Arabidopsis thaliana: one gene and its partner. The protein of the gene in region 2 purifies or fractionates together with the protein of the main gene of each other region. This does not show direct contact. Each region holds a gene or a part of one and is shown on either strand. Other genes may lie near its edges. The genes, in order: RPN1A and RPT6A.

Region 1 (3,923 bases), on a different chromosome or scaffold from region 2:
TTGGATACTCTTCAAACTTCATGTAAATCATGTAGGAAATATCTAGAACCAACATGTCATCTGGTCCAGGAAGGTACCTGAAAATTCAAATATATAAGACGTCAGAGAGATTTTTGGAAGCAAATATAAACAAAGCTCACCACTTGTTTCTACAAGATCAGTTCAAATAACAAAGAGTGAGGAAAAATAAAATAAATAGGATTGACTATGTTTAAAGTACCTAGCTGCACTTGTGAGATAGTTGCATGTCCTCTTGAAATTTGTTTTGTCTACATGCTCAAGTAAGAGATCAAGATCCTCAACATCCATTAAAAGATCAACAGCTTCGGTTTCTGCATTATGCTGCAAGGAGTAAATGAAATCGTTTAGAAATAAATAAATCGCAGAGGTGCTAATCTCAAGCCCTATTAGTTTAGGAATTCACCTTCATGTGAAAAGCAACAATTTGTTGCACAAGCTCCATTAAATCGTCAATAGAGGCCTCCTCACTCTGAGATAATGAACAGGTAGATAAATATGACTCAGTGACCTTTCTCATTGAATAAGACACATTTAGTCATTCCTCAAAACTCCAACCATCAGAATTCAGAAGGATAAACCCAAACACAACTTCCAACAATCTTAGAATATCTGCACAAGTCCTAGGACGAGAAACTGAATTTCCAAAGACAAAATCGAAAATTGATTTCTAACCTGACGCTTTGTATACTCTTGTGCAATCTCTCCAGCTAAATTCCTGACATATTCATGACCCCACGATCCAATGTCACCCTCTGTTCCAATCAATCTAAACCTTAAGCTTTCCTGGAATTATATTGTAAAAGAAAGTGATTAGCAGTTCAAAGTATGCCTTAAAAAATACAAATCAGAATACAAAGTATGCCCAAGTCAGTAGAAGCATACCCTTTCACCATCTGCAGACATGGTAAGGGCCAGGACAGACAGGATATCGGACAGGTACTTCTGCAAACATAGCAAATGTAATTTTTAAGCCATACCAATATAAGAATTGTTAATGACTTGAAATCAATGATGACATACTTTGAGATCAGAATCAGCCATTGTTTCATGAAACGCTTTAAGAGTTCCATAATGGGGACGCAGAAACTTTAGTGGTTTGGGAACTGAAGTCATGGAACTTGTTGAAGCTCGGATTTCCTGCCTACAAAGCCAAATAAAACTCTAATTAAAAACATAAACATGTACACCAAGAGCAGAGAGAAAGAAAAAAAGCTTTATAAGTTGTACAAGCTTCAGTGGCAATAATCTGAAAACCCGAAGCTGATCAAGTCAAGAATTACCTCATGCTCTCAAGGGCAGCCTTCTGCAATTCCGGATTAGGATCCTGAACCCTCTCAACATAGAGCTCAAGGTTCTGCTTTAGTTCCAAGTCCTCTTCAGACTACAATCACAACCCAATGTAAGTCGAGTCATTAAGAAAGTGACCATATACAAACAAAAAAAACTTTCCTCACATCACAAGTTAACAACTTTCTAATCCGGCTAGTCTAATGACGAACAAAACACTCACTTTGCCAGATTAAAAACCCTAATTCTATAACACCCCTACTTCAACTCGATCGAGACTCCAATTAAAAACCTAACTGCAGATCTTACAGATTTGAAATTAATTCGTTTCTGATGAACCCAGATACTAAACACGACACACAATGTCGAAAAAGGATTCGATAAATCAAAAAACCGAGAAAGAAGAAACTTTACCAAATCCTCATCCTTTTTCTCGTCCTTCTTCTTGGGATCCTTAGACGGAACCTTCAAGGTAGCTTCATCTTTCTTCGCACCGCCTCCGACACTGTTGGGATCCTGAGTTGGAGCCATCTCTACAGTAACAGATCAATCTAAGGAACCCCTTGTAAAAAGCTTGAAATTTGAACACTCAAACGAATCGAGAAGCTTGTGCTTGTGCTATCGAAAACTCTCTGATTGCAGGAATTAAAACAAAAAAAACTCTTCTGCAACTCTCTAATCAAAGCACAATAATATATGAAGAAGAATCTAAATATTGGAATCGGAGAAGATAACCCCTCGATCAAGATTTCTACACTATAGAATCAATCAGCCCATTACAACCTCTTTTTCAATGTCACAGCCCATTAACCGTATTGGGCTCATTTAGTGAGTTCTTCTTACATGGGCCCACATGTCTAAAATTATTTATTCATCATATTTCTGTATGGTTGAACAAACATAATTTATCCTTATGACAGTTAATTTATTTCACGTTTGAAGAGGATTTCGACATATTTTCATTCTCTTTTCGACCGGTCGCAGACAAAACTGCAAGACAAGCTTTTCTTTCACAACCTAGTGAAGTCATAGTTTCGTCTAATTCACTGCATTGGATCTGGTCATTAGTAAAATTGTTGAAATATCTCATGATCCTTGTAAATTCAATATTGACAATTTTTGACCATCTATCTCATGGTAATTTAGTAGTTGAAATCTTCACCAAAGAGTTTATAGAGACCATGGTTTTTTGTTATTTTCACTATGATTTTAGTAAAAGTTAGCCAATGTAGATGTAGGCACCAAAAACTAGTGTGCATTTCGATTTGGAATGTCCGGTTAGAACAAAAAAAAATGATTTGTCTTCATTATCTTCGACCAAAGTCCTTTAAATTTTTGAATTTGAACCGAGTATTCATTTTGGTTATATTGGATTTTAATACCATGCATGTAGGGTTTGAATATATTTACTTTTGCCTATAAATACGTACTTATAAAAAGCATATGTGTACAAGTGTGAGTGGAAAATGAGATGCTAGTAATAGTATCCGCATGTATATGAATTATCAATTATGAAGAGAGAGGGACCATTCAAATTTGAAGGAGACGAGAGAGAGAGAGAGAGAGTGGTCACAATTGGAGAAAGAAGAGGTCGTTACGTTGGATTTTACGTTGCCTCCATGCACTTCCTTCTCCTCTTATCTCGTGGTCCTCTCCCTCTCTCCTCATTATTATTTTATGCCATTGTTCTCTCAATCCCAACAATACGTTTTTATACGGTAATATATGCATGGTAAACACACAATTTCATTACTCATTTTTCACCATATATAACCGGCTGGTATTTTTAAGTATAAGTTATGTTTATAAATTATAAGTGTATATATACTCGTGAGGTTGTCCTCTTTATAATCAATTGGTCGTCGTTTGCGACTTTGCTTTGAACGCTTCCAATTTCCATATGATCATTTGATATGGAAATTTGTTGTGTTATGTTTTATAAAAAAACTTTATATAAGCAATCAAGTTCTAAATCACCAATGGTTAGAGAAAATATAGGTAATTTATTTGCGTTAATAGAGCTAGAGTGTACTTAGCACCCTAGATACATATGAAAAGGGTCTCCTTATTAGTCACATGGGACGATTAAGTAAAGAGTAACTCTTAACACAACAAGGGTCAAAACAAAAACAACCCTTGGAAAAATAAAAGTACAATAATTGAAAGACATGTCGTCGAATTTTTGTTTGGTTCTCGCTTGCCTACGGATCTTGTGCGTTTCAGGCACAAGACGCGGTCGGAGGAACCTCAGAGACACCGTGACGGTGAAGCTCTGTCATAACACCGTCAACAGCCGGCGGATTTAATCCCAACGGAAGTGGCAGCCATGGCCTCGTCAATACATCTCCTATGGCTGCATCCACGCTCTCTTTTGACTGTTCCATTTATAATATATATACACAAAAAGTCAAAAATACATAATTACATAATCAAATGCGAAAAGTCAAAACTCGACAACAATCAATTCATTATATTAGATTCTTACCGGATGTAAGTCTACCGGAGGACGAGCACCACCAAATCCAAGATTTGGTTTGTACATCGTGTGATGCGGCGGCAGAGCATGCGGGATTCCGGCAACTGGCGGTGCTCTAAATCTCTATACAATTACCAAT
Region 2 (3,923 bases):
CCTTACATGAGACTTGGCACTGTGGCCTAAATGCTAAGCACTATGACAAAGAATACTTTATAGAACGATATTCATTCACAACGGAACCATATTCATTGTAGCAACAAAGAACACTTTCCCCATTTAACTTAACAGCTCATGTCCATTTTATAGCAACTAATGGCGGACATGTTAAAAGATGTTATCTTATCAACAGTTCCATATTTTCCTATCAACCACTATTACCATGCTTGAAATTTAAAATAGGGACTACCATATACTAACCTTGCCATCACAAAAAGTTCTCTGACCATTCTAGAACCTTCTCCAATGTATTTCTGGACAAGCTCGGAACCAGAAACTCTTATGAAAGTACAGTCAGTGTGATGTGCAACAGCCCGAGCCAATAGTGTCTTCCCAGTTCCAGGTGGACCGTATAACAACACACCCTAGAAAGACAGAGAGATGAGATTACGTCTAATCCACTTAGCATCATCACAATATGGAGAAGAAGGTTTAAGATTCAAGTGTACCTTTGGCTGCGCAATTCCAAGAGACTCAAACAATTCAGGATGCTTGATTGGCAGCTCAATGACCTGATAAACCAGAAAAGATATAGATATTATATAAACATTAAAAGGATGAAACAACAGAGGAGATAGCCAATACTGTAGTGACTTTTAGTTTCGGTTTCTCATTCACTAAGCATACCTCCTTTATTTCCTTAATCTGCTGGTCAAGACCACCAATCATGTCATAGGTGGAGTCTGGAACCTTCTCAACTTTCATAAGGTTAACCAAGGGATCTACTTTACTTGGCAGAACCAGGTGGAGAACATAGCTATCATTACGAAGAGCAACTCTCGTTGATGGAGTGATTTTCGTAATGTCTATACTTTTGTCAATATCAACAACATACTTCCCCTCTGGATGAACCTGGAAAATGGGAGTGTAAGCCTTACTGACAACTATGTTCGTAGAAATACAAACATGATAATAAAAAAGATTCATACCTTAACCAAGACCTTGTTCTTTCCCATAACTTTTACCACTTCTCCCACATAGGACCCAGGTTCTTGAAGGAGCTGTAACTCTTCTCTGAGCATTCTCACTGTTCAATTAGAAATAATTTTAGTGTTAACGAGGTTTGAGATTTAGAACTAACTACAAATTATAAAGACTAGTAAGAAAACCTTCATGCATAAATAGGATGGTGATCATGATGACAACAGAAGCTGTTCTATAACTTTAAATGTGTAACTAAAATCATGGTATAGTGGAAAGGACTATATGGGCTCCTTCCAAAAGTATATATTCCTCAATGAAGATAGTGAAGAAATAACTAGGCTTTCCTGAAAAAAGCCACATACTTTGCAAAAGAACCAACAAGAAGACAGAATCTAGAAATCTAAACAAGTTAATGTTGCTAAAATCAAGACTAATCACTTCCAGATCGGAAACACTAAATCACCACAACAATTTTGAAATTTGAAATCACTCAGCTCCAATTGGAACGAAATCGAAAGCCCTAGCACAGAATCTGAGATTACGAAACACAAGGAGATGATAAAAAAGATCCAATTTTGCAGAGAATTAGGGTAAGAGAAGGAAGAAGAGACCTCGAGAATTGAGTTCATTCCTTTGAGCTTCAAGGCGATTGAGGTTATTAGTCTTCTGTCGAAGCTGGCGCTGGAGCTCATGGATGTGCTGGAGATAGTACTGCTTAAGCCCTTCCCCTTGTTTCGCCGCCGCTCCTTTCACGTTACAGGTTTCCTCCATCGCTGTCTCAGGACGCCTCGAATCTACTCCTACGGCCGCCATTTTCTCAGTGATTGAAACAAATTATCGAAGACAGAGATCTCTAGTAAGGAGATGAGAAGAAAAAGGAGAGAGATTAGTTTTCGTCGATCAGAATCTCAGAAACCCTCACGCGAAGCATTATATGATATCACCTAAATTAATAAAAAGGAAATTAACTCAACAATAGAAATATTTTTATTTTACTTTTTGCTTGTCTTAACCTTCTAGTTCGTTTAGAGTCCTTCCTCGAGTCTACGTTTTCTCAGGCTTACTCTAGCTGGTGGCTAATAAGCCGTTGGAACCATCTTAGAGATAAAACGTTCTGCTTGTTAGTAATTTAAGTTTCACCTTATCGAGTAAGAAGAGAGTTGTCGAGGGAGATAGTTGAAACTTTGAAACATTCGGATTAATAACTTCTTCTTTTTCGTTTAAATCTTACTTTAATACACATCATAAACATGTTTTATTACTAGATCAAAGATTTGAATAACATTTTAGTGTAGTTGATGCATGATGTCTCAACAACATGTTTCAACATCAACGACTTTGATTGGTGAATAAAAACAAAGTATTACAATTTGTATAGCTTTTTTTTATACAAAACACAAAAAGATTATCAAAAGTGTTACAAAAAGTTTTACTCTCACTTTTATTGTAAGGTTTTCTCGTACCGTTCTTTTTTACAGCTTTATAATATTCCGAAAAAACGTACACCTAAATTTTTTATACGACTTATTGTAAACAATCAGATCCGTTAATCTAAAATTTTGTACAGCTTTGTGTTGTACAGCCAGATGACAACAATTTTAGATTTATTATGTTTATTTAAGCGTTGGTTCAGCACATATCGTTAATCTAAAAGAGAGTGAATCTCAACAATGACTACATGCAATCTCAATTATTTGCTTAATTAGTGCATTGACTAGTTTATGTCCAAAATACACAATAATTTCTCTACAAACAAACAAAAATTCTCTACATACACACAGACAAAATCAATATGTTTAATATTCTTCCATTAATGGTGAGTTGACCAAAATTAACACCACAATTAAACTCAAAGTGACTAAAAAGATTACTAACAAAATTGTCCCGTACGATAAGACACTGACGAGAGAAGTCGTCGCCTTCCTCTAATTAGTCTCTGAATAATCCGATCCAGATCCCAAATCCTCTCTTCTTCATCTTCACCGATCTGGATCTCCCAAAAACCTCCACCAAAAACCAAAACAATGTCGTCCTCTCGATTCGATTCAAACAAACAATTAACAACAAGCAGTCTCGTAATCGGCTACGCACTCTGCTCAAGCCTCCTCGCCGTAATCAACAAATTAGCAATCACATACTTCAACTACCCAGGTCTCCTCACAGCTCTTCAATACCTAACCTGCACCGTCGCCGTCTATCTTCTCGGCAAATCAGGGTTAATCAATCACGATCCATTCACATGGGACACTGCTAAGAAATTTCTCCCTGCAGCTATCGTCTTCTACCTCGCTATCTTCACAAACACAAACCTCCTCCGTCACGCTAATGTCGATACTTTCATCGTCTTCCGATCTCTAACACCGCTCTTAGTCGCGATCGCTGATACTGTGTTTCGTAGTCAGCCTTTACCTTCGAGACTTACGTTTTTGTCTCTCGTCGTTATCCTCGCTGGAGCTGTTGGGTATGTTGCAACTGACTCGTCTTTTACTCTAACGGCTTATTCATGGGCTTTGGCTTATCTTGTTACCATTACTACTGAAATGGTTTACATTAAGCATATGGTCTCTAATATTAAATTGAACATTTGGGGATTGGTTCTCTACAATAATCTACTGTCTCTGATGATAGCACCGGTGTTCTGGTTTCTTACTGGAGAATTCACCGAGGTTTTCGCGGCGTTGAGTGAGAATAGAGGGAATTTGTTTGAGCCTTATGCGTTTTCTTCTGTGGCTGCGTCGTGTGTGTTTGGTTTCCTTATCAGTTACTTTGGATTTGCTGCTAGGAATGCTATCTCTGCTACTGCTTTTACAGTCACTGGTGTTGTTAACAAGTTCTTGACTGTTGTCATCAATGTTTTGATTTGGGATAAGCATGCCACTCCTGTTGGTTTGGTTTGTCTTCTTTTTACTATCTGTGGAGGTGTTGGTTATCAGCAG

What was found.
Region 1: the proteins of RPT6A (region 2) and RPN1A purify together in Arabidopsis thaliana (affinity purification with mass spectrometry; 2 studies listed by BioGRID, with this or other methods). This does not show direct contact.

The regions. Positions count from the first base shown.
Region 1 is NC_003071.7:8,857,127-8,861,049, reverse strand, and holds the start of RPN1A (26S proteasome regulatory subunit S2 1A), read right to left. Parts: upstream 2,089-3,923; 5' UTR 1,840-2,088; coding exon 1,723-1,839; intron 1,403-1,722; coding exon 1,302-1,402; intron 1,163-1,301; coding exon 1,042-1,162; intron 964-1,041; coding exon 904-963; intron 805-903; coding exon 694-804; intron 491-693; coding exon 425-490; intron 343-424; coding exon 221-342; intron 78-220; coding exon 1-77. Other genes in the region: GPRI1 (GBF's pro-rich region-interacting factor 1), read right to left, coding at 3,528-3,683, 3,794-3,907. UniProt on the Arabidopsis thaliana protein: Acts as a regulatory subunit of the 26 proteasome which is involved in the ATP-dependent degradation of ubiquitinated proteins. Required during embryogenesis. Required for optimal plant growth and stress responses. Required for innate immunity.
Region 2 is NC_003076.8:6,750,021-6,753,943, reverse strand, and holds the start of RPT6A (regulatory particle triple-A ATPase 6A), read right to left. Parts: upstream 2,147-3,923; 5' UTR 1,984-2,146; exon of another isoform or gene 1,841-1,983; 5' UTR 1,801-1,840; coding exon 1,599-1,800; exon of another isoform or gene 1,201-1,598; coding exon of another isoform or gene 1,173-1,200; intron 1,091-1,172; coding exon 993-1,090; intron 916-992; coding exon 691-915; intron 576-690; coding exon 513-575; intron 429-512; coding exon 265-428; intron 1-264. Other genes in the region: GONST4 (golgi nucleotide sugar transporter 4), read left to right, coding at 3,012-3,923. UniProt on the Arabidopsis thaliana protein: The 26S proteasome is involved in the ATP-dependent degradation of ubiquitinated proteins. The regulatory (or ATPase) complex confers ATP dependency and substrate specificity to the 26S complex.